Drosophila melanogaster: one gene and its partners. The protein of the gene in region 1 interacts with the protein of each later gene in a pairwise test. Each region holds a gene or a part of one and is shown in the gene's direction. Other genes may lie near its edges.

Region 1 (4,580 bases):
ACATAGGACTTGCAATCGAAGGCCGCAAATGCCTGCCATCCGGCTTTCTATGCGTTGCCCTGAGGTTCAGTGGCTACATCGAGATCCGCCTGGACGTGATAGGGTCCCTCGTTCACATAGGCCGTGAAACGGATGGTTTCGGTGGGCGAAAACTCAGCGCTAGCGGACAGAATCTCCATAATTTGCCACTTCATATACTTAATGTCCCTGTGCAGATCCTTTTGACGCGAAAGAAGGAACTCCACAGCACCGCCGGTATTCTTTAGAGCTACAATGCCCCAGTTGTACTTACAAATGGTTTTCAAGAACGACAAGGCGGCCATTTGAAGATCGGGGAACGGAGTGTTTATCAGGTCCATAATGATATTAGCATGCGCTCCCCCAGCGAAGCACTCGTACCAGTTTTTACCAATGTTACTGAAAAAGAAGAGAATCATTAGAAGAAAAACTTCAATTATAGAGTTAAGCATTACATGATTTCTGTGGCAGGCGGCGTCTTGAAGTCATAAATCACATCCAGGGAGTTGAGCAGCCTCTTCTTGATGTGCGCCGATAGCTTCTTAGTATGCGAGCCATACTTCTTAAAGGACTTCTCCATGGCCCCGCTAAAGTGCATGTTCAGCAGTATCTTGCCCTGTGGAGTAGTGGCCAAATTGGCAAGCGTATCCATGGCAGTGGGCAGAATACTCTCATCCTCCGATTGAAGCTGCATGAACAAGCAGGCCAGCATGTGCGGGTAGCCGCCAATGATTTTCAGAGGCTGGTATACGGAAATTTTGCCGAAAAACTTCATAATGCTGGGAACGAGCAGGGCGTCTAGCGGATGCTCTTCGACGCGTTGGACCCGATAGCTGATTATATCCAAAACGCGACGACGTTCCATGTAGGACAGACCATGGTTTTGTTCGGCCAGTGGCACTAGGAGCTCCATTACGCTAGCCTGCAATAAAACATCGTCGTTATCCAGTTCGCTGAGAGCCGCATCCAGAATAAATGTAACGTCACTGAGTAAGGTGGCACTTTTCTTGGCCAGGACCACTGCCAATTCGTAGGCGCGACAGCGCACGATCTCATTTTGCTTTAGGAGCTGTACTAGCTTTGCCTGCACATCGGCATTGCTGATTCGCTGAGGCAGCACGATGGATAGGATATTGATGGCCAGAGAGGTACTCTGCGTATCCGGTTGTTTCAGCTCGTCCAAGATGAGGAAAATAAGCTCATTGTTGGGCAGGGTGAGAACCTGACCGACGGTCAACTGGCGAAGCAGCTTCTTGAACAAACTGGCCAACACCTGGGCACGCAAGGCTGGATTCGAGTGGGTCAAGCCACGTCTTAGCAGACTGGACAGCTGCTCGTCGGCGGTGTCCATCGCCAGCTGATCAAGGCAGTGGCACAGCAATTCCAGGGTCACGTCCACGGCCTGATCCTTGGGAACATGGGAATCCGCGGCGGGATTGGCGCAGTCATACAATTGGTCCGTGGTCAGCAGGCGTTCAATTATTTGACGCGGAAGAGCCGCCTCCTTTGCGATGGCTGAGTTCATGGCGGTCAGCGCATCCAGCCTTTGTGGCTTCGACTCCAGAGCCTTTAACTTGGTGACCCACCAATTGTCTTCCATTTCCATTTGTTTTCTGTGTTAAAATGACAGTCGGTTTCAAACCTATCGTTCTTCGATTTCAGAAGACGTTACTTGTCCGAACTTATTGGCGACTATCGATATTGCTTATGTTTATGGCTTGACACTGCAACTATCGAGCGTTTGGGCAAACCAATGTTTTCGATCGATAGTAGCAAGTGCTAGTATATTCCTTATCGTATTGTTTGTTTGTTACAAATGTCTTGAAAGTTTTTAAGTATATTTTCAAAGCCAACTATATAGCTGTAACTCTATTGAAATGAATAACTTCGATTAAAGTGCAAAATGATAGCCGCAGCCCTGCCAAACGTTGTAATATCTATCGCCCAGTCGACCACCACCAGTAATAGTGCATCCCTGTTTTGACGCCATTTTACAGGCGAAATTGTGTGTGTGTTTGACGCGTTGTTGTATTGAAACAAAAAGGCAGAAATTTTCCTTCGTCTGCAAAGGGCAATTGTTTACGGCTGGAAAAAAGGGAGGACTTCGTAGCAAAGATGTCGCAACGCTTTGCACCTGGCCAAGCGCCGGTGCAGTCGCGTTATCAGCCACCACCACCGGCGCCCGGCATGCGTCCCTATCCGCCGCCAGGCGCCTCTTTTCCAGTGAGTTTTCCACGCATTATCCAGCACCTACCGTTTCAATTAAGCATGTACAATCTTATCCGCAACAGCCGCGCGGGTTTCCCCTGCATCCGAACACTACTCAACCTGTTCCCGGCACGGCGAACGTGGCCGGGGTACCGGGAGTTCCTGGAGTACCCGGCGTACCGGGACCATCGCTACTGCAGCGCGCCGCCCAACAGCCGGGCTTTCAGAGCAGCCTTCGCGGTACTGGAGCCGGAGGTGGCGGTGTTGGATCCGGCGGAGGCAGCAAGAGGTCAAATGAATCCCGCAGTTTGGGTGGCGGTGGTAGCAAAAGTGATTTTGCGACGGCCAAAAAGAAAAAGAAGCTGGCCGAAAAGATACTGCCGCAGAAGGTGCGGGATCTGGTGCCCGAATCGCAAGCGTACATGGATCTGCTGACGTTTGAGCGAAAACTGGATGCCACCATAATGCGCAAACGTCTGGACATCCAGGAGGCCCTCAAGCGCCCCATGAAGCAGAAGCGCAAGCTGCGCATCTTCATCTCGAACACATTCTATCCCAGCAAGGAGCCCACAAATGATGGCGAGGAGGGCGCCGTTGCCTCTTGGGAATTGCGGGTGGAGGGTCGCCTGTTAGAGGATGGCAAGGGCGATCCCAATACAAAGATCAAACGCAAGTTTTCGTCGTTTTTCAAGTCGCTGGTTATCGAGCTGGATAAGGAACTGTACGGTCCGGACAACCATCTGGTCGAGTGGCATCGCACTCACACCACCCAGGAGACGGACGGGTTCCAGGTGAAGCGGCCGGGCGATCGCAATGTGCGCTGCACCATCCTCCTGCTGCTTGACTACCAGCCGCTGCAGTTCAAGCTGGACCCGCGACTCGCCAGGTTGCTGGGCGTACACACACAGACCAGGCCGGTGATCATATCCGCCCTGTGGCAGTACATCAAGACGCACAAGCTACAGGATGCCCACGAGCGGGAGTACATCAATTGCGACAAGTATCTGGAGCAGATATTCAGTTGCCAGCGGATGAAGTTTGCCGAGATACCGCAACGCCTCAATCCGCTGCTGCATCCGCCCGATCCGATTGTGATCAATCATTTCATTGAGAGCGGTGCAGAGAACAAGCAGACTGCCTGCTACGACATCGATGTGGAGGTGGATGATACGCTCAAAAACCAGATGAACAGCTTCCTGATGAGCACTGCGAGCCAACAGGAGATCCAGGGGCTGGACACCAAGATCCACGAGACGGTGGACACGATCAACCAGATGAAGACGAACAGGGAGTTCTTCCTAAGCTTCGCCAAGGATCCACAAATGTTTATTCATCGCTGGATCATCAGTGAGACGAGGGATTTGAAGGTTAGTTCTTTTTTTTTCTTTTTTGCCTCATACCGTTGTCTAAACCTTTCGTCCTTTCAGCTGATGACCGATGTAGCTGGCAATCCGGAGGAGGAGCGTCGGGCGGAGTTCTATTACCAGCCATGGACGCACGAGGCCGTTTCGCGCTACTTCTTCACCAAGGTCAACCAGAAGCGGGCCGAATTGGAGCAGGCGCTGGGCATACGCAACGGCTAGGTGAATGATGAGCTGATCATCTCCACCAGCCAATTCGTGGAGTCCACCGTCAAGAGACCTCCATAAACCGTGCGCACGGCAAACTCTTTTTCCTTCGCCAGTTTAGTTTAAGCTTAAAATATTTCCTTTTTTTCCGACAAGCCGAACTCCATCCCGTTCCAAAACGAAAATCCCCTTTGCAGTTGTCCCAAATACCCACATCCAGCACAAATATTGGACTTAACTGTAAGCTAATAAAATGGCATACAAATATAAAACTGTCTATAAAATTTGATTCGGTTCACTTTTAGAAACACTAAAGTTTAATTTTTATTACGAGTGATTTCAGTTGACTTTATATATATTTAGCCTTTTGATACTTTTGGGTTCCCTTTAAATTTTAGAAAATGCATTTGTTGGTTAATTGAGATTTTAGAATCACTTGTAGCCTTACGATCCTATACGATTTCATGTTAACTGATTGTTTCTAAAATACGTTTTGATCTACATTTGGATATATTATTGTAGGGTTTTAGCTGACCAATCTAACAATGTGAAAGGCCAGCGTTTGAGTCATCTCACAATATTTCATAATTTATACTTTAAAATTATGTGTTTTAGTAAGTTCCATAGTTCTGCAATCCTTTGATGCTGTTGATTTAAAATTGTATAAAACGCATTTTCAGTTGATGCTTCTTAACTTAACGATTTACGCACAAGCTTTAAACGGTTTAGACTACAACACAGGATTAATATCACTAGTAAACTAAAGACGGACTCGGATTACTACGT
Region 2 (4,938 bases), on another chromosome or scaffold:
ACATTAAAGTTATTTCTGCCAGTGTAACGTTGCAGAGTCACTTGCTCCGCAGAGAGCCGCCACTCAAAGATCAACCCTCGATGGCAGACTCTCGCCTTTATGGACTACGAAATGTGCAATTTCTGCTCGGGTACCGAGTTTTACGATTTTTCCATAGGTCCCAATATGCCGGGCATCTGTGTGGTAGGGGTTATTTGGTTGTTGGCCCAGTATCGATGGCAGGCCCGATTTTAGACCCAGTCCACTTAGGAATTCCACGGACAGACCACATGGACTCTCTAGCATTTTGCCACTTCAGTTGTTGCTTCAGTTTCAGTTTTTTTTTTCCTAGTTGCACTGGGGAAAAATGTGAAAATGTGTTCCCTTAGCACAATTGTTGCTCTCCCCTGGCTGCAATTTTTAATGTGCCTTTTCCGATGCGCGTTCTTTTTTTTCTGCCTTTGATGCTCTCGAGTTTCCCCTAATGTGGCTGGAATATGTCGCCTGGCCATAGCTTCTATTATGGCCTTCTATTTTCGGCCCAACATTGATGACAATTTTCATATTTGCCATAAAGTCGAAAGGCAAATATTGCGTATCTTCAGGACAATTGAAGAAATGCTCCAAATATGAGTTTACTTTATGCTAATATATTAATATACAGCGTAAGTAATCATCATATTTTTGATGAATTTCTGGCATCTGTATCATCAAACATCCTAAAACTCTTTGTATAATTTTTTTTTTTTGTATTTTTTCCCATGATATTTTGGAAGATTAATTCTCCCACCGCTCTGCGAAGGTGAGTTCTCATGGTCCCTCCCGAAAAACGTCTCATAAATGTTTCCTGACAGTGAACATCATCGAATTGAAGACCAACCCAACCACAGACAACACTCGGCGCACAAACTCAAACTTTGACACTGATAGAACATGGGGAATACTAAACCGGGGGGCTCACCTCAGATGCTACAATATATATGATGATGGTATATGCTATGTGCGCCACATCAAGTTGGCTTATATGCTAGATGGGTCTTCTATTTCTGCTATCGGAACTCATCAAATATGCACGACGAGACCAAGACAAAACGTACGCTCACGGATGGAAAATGGGAAAGGGACAGGAGACAGGGACAGTGGACAGGGGACAGAGGACAGGGAATCATGGATATCATGGAAATCATGGACTCGGAGCGCGCTGGCGATGATAATTTGATCATGCGAAAAGCGCACGCAAAAGAAAAACATGCGCAGGTACAACAACAAAGTCGTTGTAGTCGAGGAAAAGTGAGTTTTCCTGATCGCCGATCGGTTTCTAGGGGTGGGGGAGTACCGAGTGGGTGATGGCAATATGGCAACCATATTTAAACACTGATCCCGTATGCGTGTGTGCGTGCGCGGGCGGGAGCGAGATGGGGTGAGAGTGCGAGGGAGAGATGCAATGTTTTTATGCTGCTGCCGATGTCGCTGCACTGTGAGAAAATAAGAGATGAGAATTGATTGATCTCTCAAAATGATGTACAAATTTATTAGTGAAGACACAGAAACAGACATAAAGAAATCAAATTTACCGATTAAATATTATTATTTTATTTAATTAATGTATCCAGTTCAAAATCTTGTGGTACTTATTTCAAGTAATTTTTTGTATCTGAATTTATTAAGAAAATTATGCCTAACAGTTTCGCTTAGAGAATTCGAAAGAAAATATTAATATGAGAAGGTGGGATTTTTCGGTATATTTATTTTTATCAGTGCACGCTGAGAATGGGAATGGATGAAGAAGTGCGCGTATGGTAAATAAAAACCAAAACACGAGGAGGGATTCTCTGCGTCGGCAGAGACGTCGACAGAGACATCGGCGGTGGCAGAGGAAAATGCAGACGGCGCGGAGTGTTTTGTTCTCGTTGAAGTTTTAGAATTTATTCCGTTTCGGGATGTCAATGCAGACGCACGCACTGCGCGAACTCAAGTGAACTGAAGTGAAATATTAAGTCGAACCATCACGAACTTGCATTGCCGCCTAAATTTGAATTTTGAATTTATTTGCCCCGTTTTTTCAAACTGACAATTTGTTAAGTTGCCATTTGTGGCACTCCCCGTTGTGATTTCCGTTTACGGTTTCTCGAATTCGCGCCCTGTGCGCAACTTTTGGCGCGTGCGCATGCGCAGCCAGTGAAAGTGCAAATGCATCGCAAATCAGAGCTCTGAATTGTGGTAGACTCTGCGAATCGCATATCAACTAAGGAAAAATTCACTGCATAAAGGATCTCAAGATGTTTGTCACTGTGGATAACACAAACACCTTCTTCTCAGGTAAAAAGAGTGAAAGAGTTTCTTAAAGACTTTATAAGTTTCTTTATGCGAAAAGAATTGTAACAAATATCAAAGTTTTAAGTTAGAAAGTATGAGCAAAAGCGAAAGATTATACAAAGATACAGAGATTCATACAGATTAAAAACGTACATATATGATATTAAATAAATGTTATTTATTATACTTTATAAGCACATCCTCAAACTTTGATAAGTTCAAATCAGAAAACTAACTCCATTCCTCATTCATTCTATTGCAATTGAACTCCCCAGACAACCCGTATTACTTTTGCAATGAAACCAAGTCGCCGCGCACCCCGGACTCGCAGTCCTCCAGCCGGGGATTCTCGATCTTCAAGCGGCGCAACTCGAAGGGCAGCAGCCCCCGGCCGCTGGTGATGACCAATCCGGAACAGATGCGACTGATCACATCCGCCAATCTGGATACCACGGCTACCATGGCATTAGGAAGTCCGCGGGGCAGCTTCAATTCCCTCGCCGGCTATCCGCAAGTGAGTAGCGATTTAATAGAGCATATTCCGATCTCCGATTTCGGAATACTGATTCTGATTTATCTGCTGGATCTGCCACTTCCTGTGGAGTCGAGTGAGCCCTTCTAATGTGCCGTCCTCTTCCGTTTTGCGCATTTCAGCACGCGATTGAACTGCAGACGATGAACATGTACCGCCAGCGATCTGCAAATTCGCACTCAGAGTTCCGGGAACGCCTGAATTCTTGCAACGAGACCCACAGCTCCCAGTGTCCCGGAGGAGGAGGTGCATCCGTAGCTGGGGATCACGACGAGGTCTTCAATCCGCTGACATCGCCAACAAGGTGAGCAATCCCCAGAATCGAGCATTTAATGGGGAGGGTGAGGTGATGACAGGATGCGATTGCAGCTGTTGACAGTTTCGAACCGCCCCCTTTTCCGCCCATGCTAATCGTGCGCCCTTTCTTTTCTCCCCCCACCCCCCATCTTTGCGACCAATCCTCAGTAGCAAATCGCATCGACATCACACCCTGCCAAGTGGCGGAACTCGTCGCCATTCCCTGGGAAACTGGGCCCAACATCAGCATCAACAGCAACATCAACAGAACTCTGGAGCAATGGGACTGGGATCTCCGGATGAGGTGCCCAGCATGATGGCGCCTCGACCGCCGCTCCTCTCGCCAAACAAATTCCGCGGCAGTTCCCATCGACGAAGAGGTGAGTTGACGTTCCACGACACTTGCATTTCCCATCTGCTCAGTATGCCACGGGGCAATCGCGAATTCCTATGCTAATCTGGGCTCAATAAGTAGAAGTAATCCATGTAAATGGAAATCGTTTAGCAAAGTTTTCAGATAATAGAAAAGTCGATAGTTGACAGCAAACGTATATGGATTATAGGATATGGCTGTTATGTCCCTAAAGGAATAAATTTTGGCTCACAAATTTTTAATTTTCTTTGAGAGCTATTTTTTAAATATCTGCTTATTGCTGTGTTATTTAATTTACTCGAGTCTAATATACTTTTAGTTATTTTAATATGCCCCACAAGTTCAGCCGACGCAGTGACAAAGACAAAGTGGTTGCAAATTGCATTCCCTGCCCTCGTTTCGCGTTCGCATTTTTGCACTTTGGCGGCTGTCAGGCGTTCACTCCCCTTTGCCTGCTACTCCATTTTCATGCCCCAAAAGTCCTCCCTTCTGGGGTTTTCCCCCCTGTTGACTCCTCCAGTGGCTGCCCAACAACCTTTACCTCGCAGCTTTGCATCACGTTTGCATATTAAGCGCAACTGCCAGCTCTTCGGAATTTGTTTTTTCATTTTTCGCCTGGCAGGCGCCATGGAATTGGGTCCACTACCCAGCCCCTTTCAGTTCGCCCTCACATTTAAACCACGTTAACAACATTGCAATGTTTACGCAAGTGATAATTGTAATAGTATTTTGTCGCCAGAGCGTCGCCAATCTTTGTTTTGGCATTGTTTTTCCCCGGCAGTGGAGTGGAGCTTCTGTTTGCCTTCGATTTTGTGGCGTAATGAGGGGATCGCATATAGCCGATCGAGCGTATATATAGCTGATTGTTGGCAACGCGCCTTCCTGGCTGACTGACATTTCGCGACTGGCCTGACATTGACAGTCCTCCGTGTGATGGATGCCCCTAAAGTGGGCAGTTGCATGCAAGATGGAAAGGCCTCCTGGTTTACTCGTATGTCCAGCAAAAGTCACAGGTTTATGGTTTATGAGTCGCTCAGGACTCCTTTGCACGATCATTGTGTATTCATCATAAGCGTTTTCAAGGTTTCGCTTTCATGACATCTGATGATTTAAGTTGATTTAAGGCACTTCGTGTGACGTTTAAATCCAGCGCGATTTTCGAGTCTCAAAAGAGATGAGAAATAAGTAGTAGATGAGATACTGAGGAGTGTTTCATACATAGAAATTCAGAGCATGTAGATCTGCTTTAGAAGTGCCGCAATTTATTAGAAGTGTGCCATTAAAGTTTTTACTATTATAAAAACAATAGATTCTTTCCCTTATTGTTATTGTTATCAATTATAATAACGGTTGCCCACAGCGCCTTATTCTAAAAATGATCACCCACCATATTCGACACACTTATCGCTATGGTCACTTGCAATCCATTCGAATCTTTCGC
Region 3 (6,277 bases), on another chromosome or scaffold:
CGCTGCTGGCGCTTCTTCACCTGTAAAATTGGATTTCGACGGTCAGTGAAAGCATTTAAATTTGAAAAGAAAGTTAAAAATTAAAGTATATAAAATACCTTTAACATGTATCGTTTTGTTCAGTGTAGCTACCTTTGACAACGCTGTTAATTACAGCGATGACAAATCGCTAATGAAGTGTTACCGGCAAGCCCAAACGCACACAAGCGCACACAAAGCCAACTCCCCGCCGATATAAACATATGTACGTAAAAAGAACGCCAGAACCACGCGATATGATAAGGCTAATTAAAATGGTTTGTTGCACCCCAGCATTTATCTTACGATAAGAATATGTGTTTCCCAACGCTTTTTTAAAGTGTACAAAGACAGGACAAAAACAAATAATTGTGAACCGTACAATGACCGTTATGTTTTTGTTCTTATTGGAAGAGGAAGATTGCCAATTGAACAAAGGCACCGAAAGAGTGAGAGGGGGAAGTGAATCACCCCTCACGCATGTACACACACACACACATGCACACGCACCCACGCAACTGCGATCAATGGAAATCCCTCTCTTCCATGAACAATTTACAGTTCACAGTGGAATGAGCTTATATGGGCAATGAAATGTATGTTTGTTCTGCTTCTTGCCACCACTAACACTCGCACACAAGGGCACTCACGAAAATACCCACTTGTTTTTCTTTGACTGTACAGACATACAGACTTACATACCACACACTACATCATCATCATTGTCCAACTCACGTACATACACACAAAGACGAAACGCAGCAGAAGAAATAGAATTTGCAATGCGTTCGTCACCACTTTAGTTTGCTTCTTTTCCTTTTTATCTGTTTGTCGCTAATACCAGGGCCAAACATTCCAATAACATGACACTATTTCGGTTTTAAGCCCGCCACGCCCACAAACTCACCTCCTTATTGCCGGACATGCCGCTGACGTAGACTTTCAAGACCATTTTCGCAGATTACTGTGTCCTCGCACCGCAAATGAAATAATATTTTGCAACTAAAATCTGCTGGCTACTTTCACGGCGATTAAAAATATTTATAGATCTTTTCTTTTCCTGCTTTCTTCCGTCCTGCGCCCCTACGTAATGTTTTTCCACTGGTGACGAAGGCACACGCACTGGGCAAGGTCGTTGGTTTTATTGGCTGTAAAAACGGCAAAGACGCGGATAAAAAAATTGCCTGGCGACGCTTATAAAAGTGCAAAAATATTTGATATCAGGAGTGGAAAATATTTCCTACTTTGTCGTTGAATTGAATGGTGGGACCGCGCATTGACGGCTATAGAAAACCTTCCGGCTTATCAAATATACTAAATATGATGCTTGATTAAAATACTAAAAACTTTGAACTTAAGTGATATTTCAAAATTAAATATTTTTAAGACAACTTAAATTTTATTATGCTCCCATGTAAGGTTTTCATTTTTTAAACGTTCTTCGATTAATAATCGTAATAATAAAATAATAATTTATAAAAAGCATAAGATAGGCTTTTTAAGGTTTTTTAAAAGATAGAAGAAAAGGATTCTTATTATAGAACAAATTATTTTTAATTTGGCGTCGATGAGTTAGCGGCTTCAAGGAACGGTGGAATTTAGAACATGAGGGTGTTTTTTATTTATTAATTTTTTGTTACTTGGAGTTGAATTCCATAAAAATAAAAATGCAATAATGCTAACTTTCTACAAACGACTTAAGGTTATAGGACTCAAGAAAGTACATAGAATATGCAATTGAAAAATGTTCTCCCCAGACTTTTCGGTTATTTGAAGTTTTTGCTATATTTGGTAGAACCATAAAGTATTTTTTGGTATAGATCCGTTAGCAGGGCAACCAATATTAGCGGTCGCCATGCGGTCACTCTGTTCACGTCCCGTCACGCAAGCATCGTCGTCCATTTTTGCTAAGAAGCGAGACGAAAATTTGTAAATTATATCTAGCGAGTCGCCGAGGACGAACAACTATTGACAGTGCATTTCAGTGGCCTTTGGAATACTGCTCAAACAACCAGCAAGCAATAACATTACTTATATCTAACCGAAAACCTAAATTAATCACCCAAACTGAAGTACGGACGTGAATGTAAGTGGGTATGTGCCAGCGGACTAGTGGCACAATAAAAAAGTAAATAAAGCGCGTGTGAAGTGGTGCAGAAAGCAAAAAAGCAGTCGGAAGGAAAAATCAAAATACGCATTAATGTAAGTGCGATTGTTGGAAAAGCTGTTTAACTTTTTGTTCCTCTGAAAAGCTGATAATGATATGCGATGCGACCATTTTTAAAATTTCATGAAATCAACATTCCAACTCACAACGGTGTGCGTGTGCGTTTCTTTGTGTGCGTGCGTGTGCAGGCTAGAGTGGGACAACCAGTGTGATCGCTTTGGCTGCTGCCATTTCGTTTGCTTTTTTTTAAACTAATCTCTGGCATTTGTCACGTAAAAGAGTATAACGTTAAACCCAAAAACGTTTTGTATATGGCTTTAAATATTTAATAATTGTGGGCAGAGACAGCAACACCAGCAGCAGACGCATACACACGTGTTGCGGTTTATCGAGAGGGCAGTGTGCGTGTGTTAGTGCGGAAAACAGCTGGTACAGCTGCCGCTGCAGCGACGAAGAAGAAGAAAAGAAAGAAAGGGGAAGAGTGAGAAGAACACGCATTATTATCCTGCGTAGTTTTCTTTTATCGGTGGTTGTTCTGCTATTGGGTTACAGTTTACACTTTTCTCTGTTTTCTTTATTTTCCCTCTGCATTGCTATGCATTTTGCCTTTGCGTGGTGGTTTTTTTTATTTTCATTGTCGGTCGTCCTTTAATTGCGCTGCGCCACTTCGTTTCGTCGCTTTCTTTGGCTGGTTTCTCCTTCTCTTCGGAGTTTCTGGATTCGTATTCCGATTCGGTATCGCCCTTTTCCTGCGACAACAGCAGCTGGGTGCACGGTATCGGAGCTGTCGGCGATAGCCGAAAGAAGCTAGAAACCCCAAGGAAGCCAACATCCTTTTAATTGTCGTGGAAACTATAATAGTCTCATAAAAATTAGGTTTTTAAAATGGTTTTGTCATTCTATTCTAGAAAAAGCTATGAATATAAGAATATAACAATATGTTTAATTGCTTACTAATTTTATTGAACAATATAATTTAATCGTGACGAAATGGGGGAAAAAAAACATTTTTTTGTTGTCTTGAATTTTTTTTCCTCTCTTGTCATGATTATTTAGGTAAAACGGACGTCATCAAAGTCATTAAACTTACGCGAACTTCGCATTTAAAAGTTTTTTACTGGCATTTCTATTTTTAATAGCTTTCTGGGGAAAATATCGGATAATAGCTTTTCAAATTATGCATTGCTAGCAACTTTGACTAGCGAAAAGTATTTACTAAAAATTTTTGTACCTTCCTATTTTCGGCGCTCTTTTTAAGCAAAGGCCCTTGTTTTGTAGCGTTGAAGCCTCAAATTATTTCCAAAATCACGCCCCATAAGCGATAAGATAAGAGAGCGTACAATTGTTGCCCACGATACATACAAGGCGAGAAAAAGTCCAAATTGCCAGCATTGGCGGCCATAAATCGCTGCACCATTTTCTTTTATCGGCTGCGTGTGCGTGAGTGCACGCCTGTGAATCCTGTTTTTTCCTTGAAACCAGTTTGCGTCCGTCTTTTCTTTGCCAGCAAGGTGTTCACTTCACCTTACTCATTCATTGTTTGTTTGCCCATTGCAGCCGACGCTTGATCTTCCATCTGCAGCATCCATCATTTGGAATCGAGGCAATAATCAGCATCTACCGACAATCAAGCAAGCCATCTATCTATCAGAAGACCACCGGGTAGTAGAACCTCAATCATAGCGATGGCCTGTGCAACCCTGAAACGAGCCCTAGACTGGGAGTCGATGAACCAGCGGCCTCCGAAGCGCCGGCGTTGCAATCCCTTTGGCCAGGCTGGGAGCAATGCAGGTCCAGCGTCGCCATCCCGCGACGGTCCCAGCACCTCGGCTGGTCTGCCCCACACGCCCAGCAACCGATTCGCCAAGGATAGCACCGAACCTAGTCCGTTCAGTGAGTCGTCGCTGGCCAAAATGTCACCAGGTTAGTAAATCAGGTCGATGCTGGAAAAGGGACGTCGGATTCCTTTTATGCATATTACCTTAATACACCTTTCTTCTTTTCGAAACACAGACAAAATGGCCGAGAGCTTGTGCAATGAGATCAAGAGACTGCACAAGCGCAAACAGCTGCCGATCACTTCGTCGGCCTTGGAACGCATGCAGGATTCGGAGTCCAGCGGATCGGAGATGGGTCCAGAGAGTCCGCGCCGCCCGGACAGTCCACAGAACCTGATGCGCCACGGCGAAAAGGCCCTGTTCACGTTCAAGCAGGTGCAGCTCATTTGCGAGAGCATGATCAAGGAGCGCGAGAATCAGCTAAGGGAGCGCTACGAGTCCGTGCTGACCACCAAGCTGGCCGAGCAGTACGATGCCTTTGTCAAGTTCACATATGATCAGATACAGCGTCGCTACGAGGCAGCGCCTAGCTGTGAGTTCAAGTTACCATCGGTCATGGTTATAGTGCTAATTACATTATATTTTTATTTCAGACCTGTCGTAAAGCTGTGTACACAGCTGTAGCCTCAGAAAGAAGAAATTAATAATTGCACTACGATCTTATGTGACGGTAGATCTACCGCGACAACAACAGCCCTCATAAACTATAACAAACAACAAATAAGGAAACTAAAGCAAACGCAAAACAAACCAACAAAAAAAAAAAACCTAAAAAGCAAAAAACCTAAAAACAAACAAAAAAAAAAAAACAAACTACAACATACATCGTGTTTAATATATTTTGAAATACACGCGAAGAAAACGGTTATAGTTTATGCCTAGATTTACATATATATATTGTATCGGTTAGCAGCAAAGGGATGAATTATTTAAAAGCAAGCAAAAACCACAAAAGAGAGAAACCAACAAACCAACTTGTTAAATTTATGTTTTTCACATAACGCAAATTCTAAATAAAATGACAAATATCAAATTATGAACTATATGAACTATAAGCACACCGCCACTGCAGACATATACATATGGGTGCATCCGTAGAGAGAACGATTCAATGAAACCTCAAACGTAGCTTCGTACATAACAGACCGACAGAATTGGCAAATATATAATGTTAGGCACATGATGTAGCATATAAGGTATGATGTAAAACCTATCAAACTACATATATTGTTTTTTTGGAAATTGTAATTTATGAAGCGAAGCAACAAAGATAACTCACAACTCATGAAGAACACTTTTCATAGTTTATTTTTGCATATTAGTTGTAACACTAAGGCGAGAAACGAACGCTTGAATTTGCCTATTTTCTCGAGTATCGTTTGTTAATTGTTTCTTCCTTTGATGCGAATTATTGCAAAGTAATGTAAACACACAAAACAATTGAAATGTTTCGATTTGCTTTACACCATACAAAAATGAATAACGAAAAGAAAAGGCAAACAACAAAAAAGGTATAAAAGTTATTCATTAAGTTAAATTGAACGCTTTCTTATAAAATACGCTTGACAGAAGATGTTTCATGTTCATTGCAATTATTTTTTCACACCTTGAAGAATATATACGAGAATATATGATATATATATATATATATATTTTTCAATTACCGCAATCATACATACTACTTTATATTAGTAATTTAAACTTAAAATTAGTAAAGAAATGCCATTTTTATATTAAAACAAACAAAAATAAAATGATGAATTGTAGATGCCCGCTGGTCTTTTCTTTTTAAAGCTTTTTATTCTGTTTGTGAAGCGAACTCTTAATTTCATCCGTTTATAAACCACAATATTCTTTTTTTTATACCAACCCGTATTATCCGAATAAAACTCAATTGGTTCTGGTTGCTCCAAATCCAGCTAATGCTAAATGATTAACCAGGTTTTTCAATATAATTTGCGAATCTAGCAAAACTGCCATAGGTGGGGAAAAGACTGAGCAAAATGAGAGATACCTTTTGTGCAAAACTTTCCATTTGTGAATAAAATTATGAATAACCTTTACAGTGGCTTCTCCAGACTCTGAGAATATTCATTTTGATTTATTTAATGTGTTTGTGCGTTCAACAGAAACTTTCCAAACTTAACACTAGTTAACTAAAAATACGCTTGATTCACATGCTTACAATTACATAATAATGCATTAAAAAGTCTTCAATAATAAATACATTTAGTTCAAAACTCAATTGAACGGA

Evidence for each region.
Region 2: the proteins of Bap60 (region 1) and stumps interact in a two-hybrid assay, tested with the Drosophila melanogaster proteins (one study listed by BioGRID).
Region 3: the proteins of Bap60 (region 1) and akirin interact in binary tests that used the Drosophila melanogaster proteins (3 or more experiments, as listed by UniProt).

Annotation. Positions count from the first base shown.
Region 1 is NC_004354.4:13,156,927-13,161,506, reverse strand, and holds Bap60 (brahma associated protein 60kD), read left to right. Parts: upstream 1-1,998; 5' UTR 1,999-2,133; coding exon 2,134-2,241; intron 2,242-2,309; coding exon 2,310-3,593; intron 3,594-3,653; coding exon 3,654-3,809; 3' UTR 3,810-4,062; downstream 4,063-4,580. Other genes in the region: CG12096 (uncharacterized protein), read right to left, coding at 48-417, 474-1,624. UniProt on the Drosophila melanogaster protein: Involved in the recruitment and site-specific anchoring of the Brahma complex at specific promoter sites.
Region 2 is NT_033777.3:14,589,712-14,594,649, forward strand, and holds the start of stumps (stumps), read left to right. Parts: upstream 1-1,908; 5' UTR 1,909-2,258; coding exon 2,259-2,298; intron 2,299-2,570; coding exon 2,571-2,809; intron 2,810-2,949; coding exon 2,950-3,131; intron 3,132-3,292; coding exon of another isoform or gene 3,293-3,295; coding exon 3,296-3,504; intron 3,505-4,938.
Region 3 is NT_037436.4:7,367,965-7,374,241, forward strand, and holds akirin (akirin), read left to right. Parts: upstream 1-1,878; 5' UTR 1,879-2,104; exon of another isoform or gene 2,105-2,220; intron 2,221-2,375; exon of another isoform or gene 2,376-2,586; intron 2,587-2,835; exon of another isoform or gene 2,836-3,061; intron 3,062-3,742; 5' UTR 3,743-3,870; coding exon 3,871-4,108; intron 4,109-4,198; coding exon 4,199-4,555; intron 4,556-4,616; coding exon 4,617-4,627; 3' UTR 4,628-5,747; downstream 5,748-6,277. Other genes in the region: Sh3beta, read right to left, coding at 1-20, 926-970. UniProt on the Drosophila melanogaster protein: Molecular adapter that acts as a bridge between a variety of multiprotein complexes, and which is required for embryonic development and for normal innate immune response.